2 linked regions of the Tribolium castaneum genome follow. The protein of the gene in region 1 interacts with the protein of each later gene in a pairwise test. Links are inferred from orthologs where the notes say so. Each region holds a gene or a part of one and is shown on either strand. Other genes may lie near its edges.

Region 1 (3,823 bases):
AAATCTCGCATCCCGTCACGGGAACTCTACTTAGGACATCACAGAAACGCTCTCTCTACGTCAGGTAAAACTACATTTTAACAAATATAATTAAACCCAACTTCAACTACTTTTTTTGAAAATGTAACTAAATACAACTTGAATGCAAGTATGTCTAACTATGATTTTAAAATAACTTAACTACATTACAAGGAGAAATAATAGGGTCACAAAAATTAAATAATTAAGAGATGATTTTAGAACTTGTAGTTGAACACTGCAGCTAGGGGCGGAATAGTAGGGTTGCTGGTAATGTCTAAACGAATTTGCAGAGCTCTGTTCGATTATGATCCGATGAAAGACGACGGGTTGCCGAGCCGGGGACTCGCTTTTCATTATGGGGATATCCTACATGTGACGAATGCCAGTGATGATGAGTGGTGGCAGGCGCGGAGGGTACTTAACACGGGGGATGAACAGGGTATGGGGATTGTTCCGTCGAAGAGGAGGTGGGAGAGGAAGCAAAGGGCGAGGGATCGCTCGGTTAAGTTCCAAGGACACATGCCCAACATTATGGATAAGGTTTGAACGCACGAGTTGTATAACGTATTTTGCTCACTGATCGATGTATTGCAGCAATCGACATTAGATAGGAAAAAGAAAAACTTCTCGTTTAGTAGAAAGTTCCCCTTCATGAAAAGTAAAGACGACAAGTCGGAAGACGGCTCAGATCAAGAACGTAAGTCACTTTTTTGATTTTGTTACGGATATCAAATCTAAAGACTAGGATACGACACGACATACAAGTGAAACCGTCCCCATTCCCGTCTAAATTTTAAGAGCAATGAATTTAAAACATGGTTGTATTTAATAACGGTGAGCACAACTTAAATAAAAAATTACGAGCAGATAGAACATTAAATTCTTCTCAAAGGCCAAAAACTGGCGCACCAACTTAGTGTTACGTTGTTTACTGCGTGTGTATATTACGGGAAAACTTGTTTTGTTACACAAATTTGTTATGTTATCTTCTTCGGTTTTAATTATTTTTTAATGTTTTTGTTTCACACTAAGTAATCGTTCTCTAACAAAACGATGAATAATTATTTTTTGCACTTCCGGGTCATTTATTCTTTCGTCGCCTCGTCCTTAATCCGATTTGTCCATTAAAACTCTATTTTGTGGACTTGTAACATGAATTACTATTTTTTTTATTATTGTTACCAAAAAGATTGTCATTGAATATCAAAAAACGATATCTATTGATTAACCTAAAACTGCTTTTTTTGTAACTAGTCATTTATTTGTTAATTTTGTTGTACAGTCAATATAAAGTACTGCAAAAATTTGGTACATCTCGAATTTTTGATAGTACAATTGCCATAAATAGATATCATCAATAATATTAACAAAATCGTCACAAATTATTGCATAAAAATAAATTTAATTACTATTTAAATTTTTATTTGTAATTGCAGAAGTACTTGAAAGTGGTATTAAACTGAAAAATGCGGAGATAAAACTTAGCAGATGATCCTTCAGTTTCCTCTGCGGGAAATGAAATGGAAAAGTAAAAGAACTTTAAATTAAAAACTTACTTCTTTCGAACAATTATTAATTAACAAAATGATTGAATTTAAACTTAAGGCTCCCTCATTTTTGTGTCTCGTTTCGTCTCCTAGTATATGGTTCGTAGAATTTCCTTTCACTCGTTCGATTTTTTTCTGGTTTCTTTTACCCCCTGAGATTCGATTTTTATTTTGACGTTATTTTTATATTTGTTTTTTTCTACCTTTAGACTCTCCTTCTGCCACTCCTAACTCTGCTAATGATAATGAACGAAATCCCTCATGTAAGTACTCATTAACTAATTTTAGGTGTAAACCGGTAATGAATAGGTATATCCTTGAAACCTGACGCTATCCGTTATTTTTGTTATTTTCTACTAACAGCACCCCACTAATCGATTCTGTTGTACGGTGGTTGATGTGAATTAATCTAAATAATTAGTTTCTTCGAGTGTGATTTAGACCATGTACATATTCTGTGTATTAACCCCGGCCTAATGTGATGGTTTGTGTTGCAGCGTTCATGTTATGCTACACCCAGGAGGACGCCAATGCTGAAGGTACAGTATGATTCATAATTACTGTCTTTATATAAAAATATTGCATTGTCGTTTTGGTTTACTACATAAATTTTCTTTTGGCTTCTTTCTGTGTTTCATAGTACAGGTGAAATATTATATCGGGTTGAGCTACCTTACATGGAAGAGATCACGTTAATTTATCTGGAGAATAATGATAATAATGACGACTATAGTAAGTGTTAGTGTTGTGACTGCATGGCGATCAGCAGCGCCCCTTGCACTGATTCAGCGTGTTCCGATCATTTGTTTATCTGACAAATCAATGATTAATCCAATATGGAGTTTTCATTTTGGCCTAACATTTCATCGTTGAAATCTCAGTTTGAAAGTTCAATGTTACCGAATCGACACTCAGACCCCAGCAGGAGTTTTGTTGTGCGGTTTATGCTAACATTCACGTCCCACCCCCTCATCTAGGCGGAAAATGAAATAATGTGACATTGCCGCACTTGTTAAGTAATTAATTACAATTACTTGGAAAGTAATTTATTTACTTTCATAATAGTTAAAGCAGCAAAGTACTTATGATATTTTCAATCAGTGGAAAATTATGGAAAATACATGGTGATTCAAAAAACATCAAATGTTCATAGCTCAAAATTTTATAAAACTTTATTAAACGATTGATCTGGTAAATTACCGAAATAAACAAAAAATGTAGCAGTTCATTTATAAACTTAGGGCCGGTTTATAGAAGAGTCATTAATCTATAATTAATCATGTGACCAAATTGAACAAATTTGCTTGGTCCATTTGCGTTTTAATGGCTAAAAATGGCTTCATTACTCAAAATCAAAAGGGAAAAAAATTTAGTTGAGAATAGTATACTTTAAAAAAATATATCTGTCTCAGCAATATATTTTCAAATTTTAATTATATTGTACTTTTGTAATAGAAATTAGTTATAATTTGCCCGAAGTAATTGTAATTGAAATTAATTACGTGAGTGAAACGCGTGCTTTAGGGTAGAAGTAGTTTTTTCGTCGCTCGGCTTGTGGATGGCGCTGTCACATTATTCGAGGAAGCCTGCGCTATCATGTAGGGTGAATGTGCTAGCCTTCTAAACAACTAGAAACTTAACTGCATTAACATAGACTTAGCGTACTTTGAGTTGTACGTAAGTAGGTGTGTTTGTTTTTATTTGCGAATTTGCGATTGATTTGTTTTGTGTGTCACTAAAACAAATTTTCTGTGTCTTGTGTCTCTTTTCACAGTTGTGTCTTTCTAGAGTTTTAACATGTTTTCAGCTTCTTATCTAGGGTAACTTCATGTGAATGTGTGTTATGGAATGTTAGAGGTTTGATTTTTTGTAACTTGGCTTGTAAGTCTTTCCAGGAAGAATAATTTAAGTCCAGATTTTGCCAAGTGTCGAACGAAGTGAGTTAGTTTTCGGCAAAATTGAATTTTTGGTTTTGTTTTCAGGCAATGAGGAAAATGTACTCTCATACGAACCTGTCCAGCAGATGGCAATCAATTACACGAGGCCGGTTATTATTTTGGGGCCTCTCAAAGACCGCATTAACGACGACCTCATTTCCGAATTCCCCGACAAGTTCGGAAGTTGTGTCCCACGTAAGCTCGACAAACAAAAATTGTTTGCATACAATACATAATTCGGGTTTATAGATACGACTAGGCCCAAGCGGGAGTACGAAGTTGACGCAAGGGATTATCATTTTGTCAGCTCGAGGGAAC
Region 2 (4,272 bases), on another chromosome or scaffold:
AGTAAACTTAAACCGTTTAATTTAGTTTACTGGGCGGCAAACACAGAACTGATAAACGGCAGTGACTGGGTCAGTTCTGTGTTTGCGGGATTGCCAATTTAAAACTACAAGAGTACGATTGTGTTACCCTATTTGGTCGCTATAATCTATCTAACTTTCGCTGTATCCACCTCCTCTTCCTCCGCTTGGCTAGCTTTCTGCTTTGGCACTACAGGTGAATAGGAATCTTCCTTTTCAGAATGATATATACTCTTCGACTCCTTCTTTTCCTGTTCGGATTGCCACTCGACCTAAATCAGTCATTCAATAAATACAACATCACAATACAACAAATCCGCACCTTTTGTCTGTGTTGTTTCACTGCGTCTCTACACCTATCCAAGACCATTTTCTCGGTCAGAACACCATCCTCAGACGCGTAGGCCGCCGCCTGCCATGCCACCCCCAATTTTGCGATTTCTCGGCCAGACATGCCTTTGGTCATCCGTGCCATTTGGCTACACAACGCACCGTAATCGAAATTATCAACTTTCAACCTCCTTTCAAAAAAAATTATTAACCAACTAATTAAGGAGACAATATTCCAACAAACCGTTTGCCCTCAGTCGCAGGCTCCAAAACGAATTTATCAAAATAGAGCCGAATTAAACGCTCGCGTTCCTCCAAACCGGGCAAACCAAACTGTACCATTTCATCAAGACGGTCATTCACCGCCCAATCAAACTGCTCCGGAGTGTTTGAGGCAAGAACTAACATAAATTTTTGACTTTGTTCGCCAGATCGGTACAGAAATGCGTTAAGTGTGGCGCGCAGATCTTCAGAAATGTGCTCCGATGAACGTTTGCGCAAAAATGCGTCCGCCTCGTCCACGAACAGCAACAAACCTAATCATTAAAATCGGTAACTTAATTCTTTGAGAAGAACTAAAACTAAATCATGACAAAATGTTGATAATTCATTTAAAATTTATCCTTTTTACTAAAAAAATCATTAAAAATAAAACTTTATCGAAGAAAATAAAAAAAAAGTTGTAGAGAATTAAAGACAGCTACCTTTCCTGGTACTGTGAGCCCAATCAAAGACTTTATGGATAGCTGTCACCCCATCCCGACCCATGGGGGCCACATCGCCCCCTGTCAAAATGGCATAGTCCATCCCTGAATGTTTAGCTAATCGCTAAAACACAATTTCGTAATTTAAATCACACAGTGTATGCAAAAATTACTTTTGCAAACATGGTTTTTCCTGTACCAGGAGGGCCATGCATTAGAATATTCCTGTACATGCCCCTATTTTGTTTGGTATTTTTTGTAGCAATAGCAATGTCTCTGAGACGTTCCTCCAACTGCGGGGCTAAAACTACACCAGACAGAGCGTCTTGTTGTTTTGTTCGAATTTTTTTTATTGCTTCGATGGGATGCTTTATTGTGTCGAGAAACGAAAATCTTGATGTTTCTCTAACCAACGATGGTTTTCCTATTTGAAGTAGGTTAATATATTTTTTTTAATTATTGGATTTACCTAGCCGTGCTTCTATGTAACGTGCTGTGACACTAGTTGCCCCTTTGGCTGAATAAACACCCAAAGCCAGGAGGGACAACCCACCCGCAGCTGTTAAAACCTTGTCCCAGTCTGTGAGCAAGGCGTGGACACCTGTCCCCAAAACAGACCCTGCCGTTCTATTAAAAAAAATTTTTTACAATGATGTTGGCATTTTGTGAAATAATTACTTTATACTCTCGAGCACCGTGACGCGATTTTCGGTGGCTTTGAGCCTGATTTGTTCAAGAGTCAAGTCGCGATTTTCCCTGTCAACTTTAGCTTTGGCCTTCAGTTCAGCCTCAACCCTTTTCATTTCGTTCTTGTGTCTCAGCTCCATCTCGTGCTCAATGGTGGCCTTCCTCATGGCCTCTTGTTTGGCAACGGACTCCTCCTGTCTCTTCAAATTCTCTTCGTTCATCCTTTGTTGTTGGGCGAGCTGGTCGTCATATCGCTTCCTAGCCAACTGGTCCTGGTACTGCGCCCTCGCTTGGTGCTGCTTCGTCTCCTCCACCAGCAGCTTCCTCTTCTCCTCGGCTTCGGCCCTTTTGGCCTCAATTTGCATCTGAGCAATGTGCGCCTCATACTCCTTGATTTTCGCCTGCTGCTCGACCTGTCTGGTGGTTTCTTGCAACTTGGACAATTCGAGCGCTTCCTTCGCATGTGCTGTGCACAAATAACCAACGTGAACGTTATGCAACCAAAGGTTACAAGACATAACCTTCAAAGTTGGATTTTAGGTTTCAAAGCTACTTACACGATCTCTCGAGCTCTTTTGCGGCTTGGGCCGCACGTTCCAAAGCCGTCGAGTCGAATCTGTAAGCTTCCATTTGCTTTCTTTCAGCTTTGGTCAGTTTTGGATCGTTGGGGATGTCACCACCGGCACCTCCACTCCCACCGGCCGGGGGCGCCCCGAATTGGGACATGTCAGGGGGCTGCTGGTCGCGTCTACCGTAACCGAAAATCCACGACATTTTGCGCAATTATTTTCTATCAAATTTTCATCAAAGAAAAAACGTGACACAATTCTTAGGTTAAAGACGGCTGTCAAAGGAACGAGGGCACGACCATGCGCACGTATTTTCTAGATGCCAAAGTTGCATAACATCGCATGTGGACAAAAACGTTTTTTTTATTAATTTAACCTTTTCTTAATCACTACGAGTTAATAATTTATTGTCCTCCAAACCAAATGCTTATCGCTGAGATTGTGTCCACTTACAATTTTTTGCATCTTTGAACACTTTTCTTTTTTATAGCTTGTGCTCATGTGGTCTTTTGTGCCAAAAAAATTTTGAAAATATTTTTTTTGATTTTTTATTTTCGAAATAAAGTGATAATTGTTACGTTTATTTGTGTTATTTCTTCCGCAAACATTACATCATTGTTGATTTTTGCCTCAACTATTGCAATAACCAAAAAAGCATAAAAAATCCCTAGTCTTTAACGACCGGCGATTTTACACATGGGGGTGAAAGTGGGATACGCGCATTGGCAACTCGAGAGTATAGGCGAGGGGGGCTTTGCACTCCCGGGGAGATGAAAAGGAACGACCAATGACGACTGCTTATTTTAAAACAAGCGCGTATTCATTAGGGATTTCATTAATTTGTATTTTTTGACGTAACAATGACATCTACGCTTGCGCTCAGATCGCTAAAAAGATCGCGCCGAAAATATCGCGCCAAAAGTGTTGTGTTTTGTCACTCATCGTTCAACGTGTTACCGGAAGTATGTAGCAATTATTTGTTTAATCGTTTAATCACAGCAAAAATTCTGATTACAGTACGTTAGTGAGTCAATTCCTGGTGTTGAGCACCGACCAAAAAGATAAGTATCTCTTCTTTTGCTAACATAACTTCATCTTTTTGATTGGTGTTTCTTTCTATTTTAAAGGCATTGGTCTCTGGGCTGGGGTGACGGATTTTTGATTTCTACTACTCAAGCGAACTTTAGTCATGGCTGGTTATCGCAAATATTCCTGCAAATACCCCGGATGCACCAGTGGTTATGTTCCCAACAAAGGACATGCCAACAAGCATTTCTTCACTTTCCCTAAGAATCCAAAGCTTCACGAATTGTGGAGGAATGCCTGCAAAATTGAGGATCCTGTAAGTTCAAAATTTTGGCGTTTATGTGAGGATCATTTTGAAAGTCGCGATTTTGTTAATGAGAGGAAGGATAAATTAAATCCACATGTAGTTCCAAAACCATGCGTTATGGCCCCACAAGAGGAGTTTGTTGAGGTTTCCAACTGACTCAAAAAAGTACCGGTGTGCTTTGACAGATGAGTCGCCCCATTTGGCATTTTGGTCAAAATTGTTAACGGAGATGGGCCATTGGAAACTAATAGATTTGAAAAATGGAACTGATTGTACCAATCAGTTTTCATTCGTCAAGGGTTGGCAGACGACAATCAGGTCTATTATTTTTTTATGGAATCACCTCAAAAACATCGATGGGTTTGATTTTTTGAACTTGAGGGGTCTAAACCAAGACCCCTTGGAGAATCTTTTCTGTAGTATTCGCCAGCACGGTGTTGCAAACACGAATCCCACATGCCACCAGTTCACAGCTGCCTTGAAAACCGTAGTTGTTAACAATTTGGTTTCACCAAAAGGCTGTGGTAATTGTGAGGATGACGAGTGCACGCCTTTGGAAAACTTGGGGAGATTATTGAACTTTTCAGGGAATGAGGAAAGAGAGCAGGAATCGCATCCAGAAATTTCAGTG

Evidence for each region.
Region 2: the proteins of dlg1 (region 1) and bor interact in a two-hybrid assay, tested with the Caenorhabditis elegans proteins (3 studies listed by BioGRID). The link is inferred for Tribolium castaneum from reciprocal best matches to the Caenorhabditis elegans genes dlg-1 and atad-3.

Annotation. Positions count from the first base shown.
Region 1 is NC_087397.1:8,290,844-8,294,666, reverse strand, and holds part of dlg1 (disks large 1 tumor suppressor protein), read left to right. Parts: coding exon 1-64; intron 65-311; coding exon 312-561; intron 562-615; coding exon 616-718; intron 719-1,777; coding exon 1,778-1,831; intron 1,832-2,065; coding exon 2,066-2,107; intron 2,108-2,213; coding exon 2,214-2,300; intron 2,301-3,550; coding exon 3,551-3,700; intron 3,701-3,754; coding exon 3,755-3,823. UniProt on the Caenorhabditis elegans protein: Essential multidomain scaffolding protein required for normal development. Recruits channels, receptors and signaling molecules to discrete plasma membrane domains in polarized cells. Required for proper embryonic elongation.
Region 2 is NC_087398.1:2,267,287-2,271,558, forward strand, and holds the start of bor (ATPase family AAA domain-containing protein 3A homolog), read right to left. Parts: upstream 2,805-4,272; 5' UTR 2,514-2,804; coding exon 2,297-2,513; intron 2,206-2,296; coding exon 1,731-2,205; intron 1,680-1,730; coding exon 1,522-1,679; intron 1,477-1,521; coding exon 1,226-1,476; intron 1,177-1,225; coding exon 1,053-1,176; intron 885-1,052; coding exon 593-884; intron 540-592; coding exon 341-539; intron 291-340; coding exon 147-290; 3' UTR 1-146. UniProt on the Caenorhabditis elegans protein: Essential for mitochondrial network organization, mitochondrial metabolism and cell growth at organism and cellular level. Important during development for the up-regulation of mitochondrial activity during the transition to higher larval stages.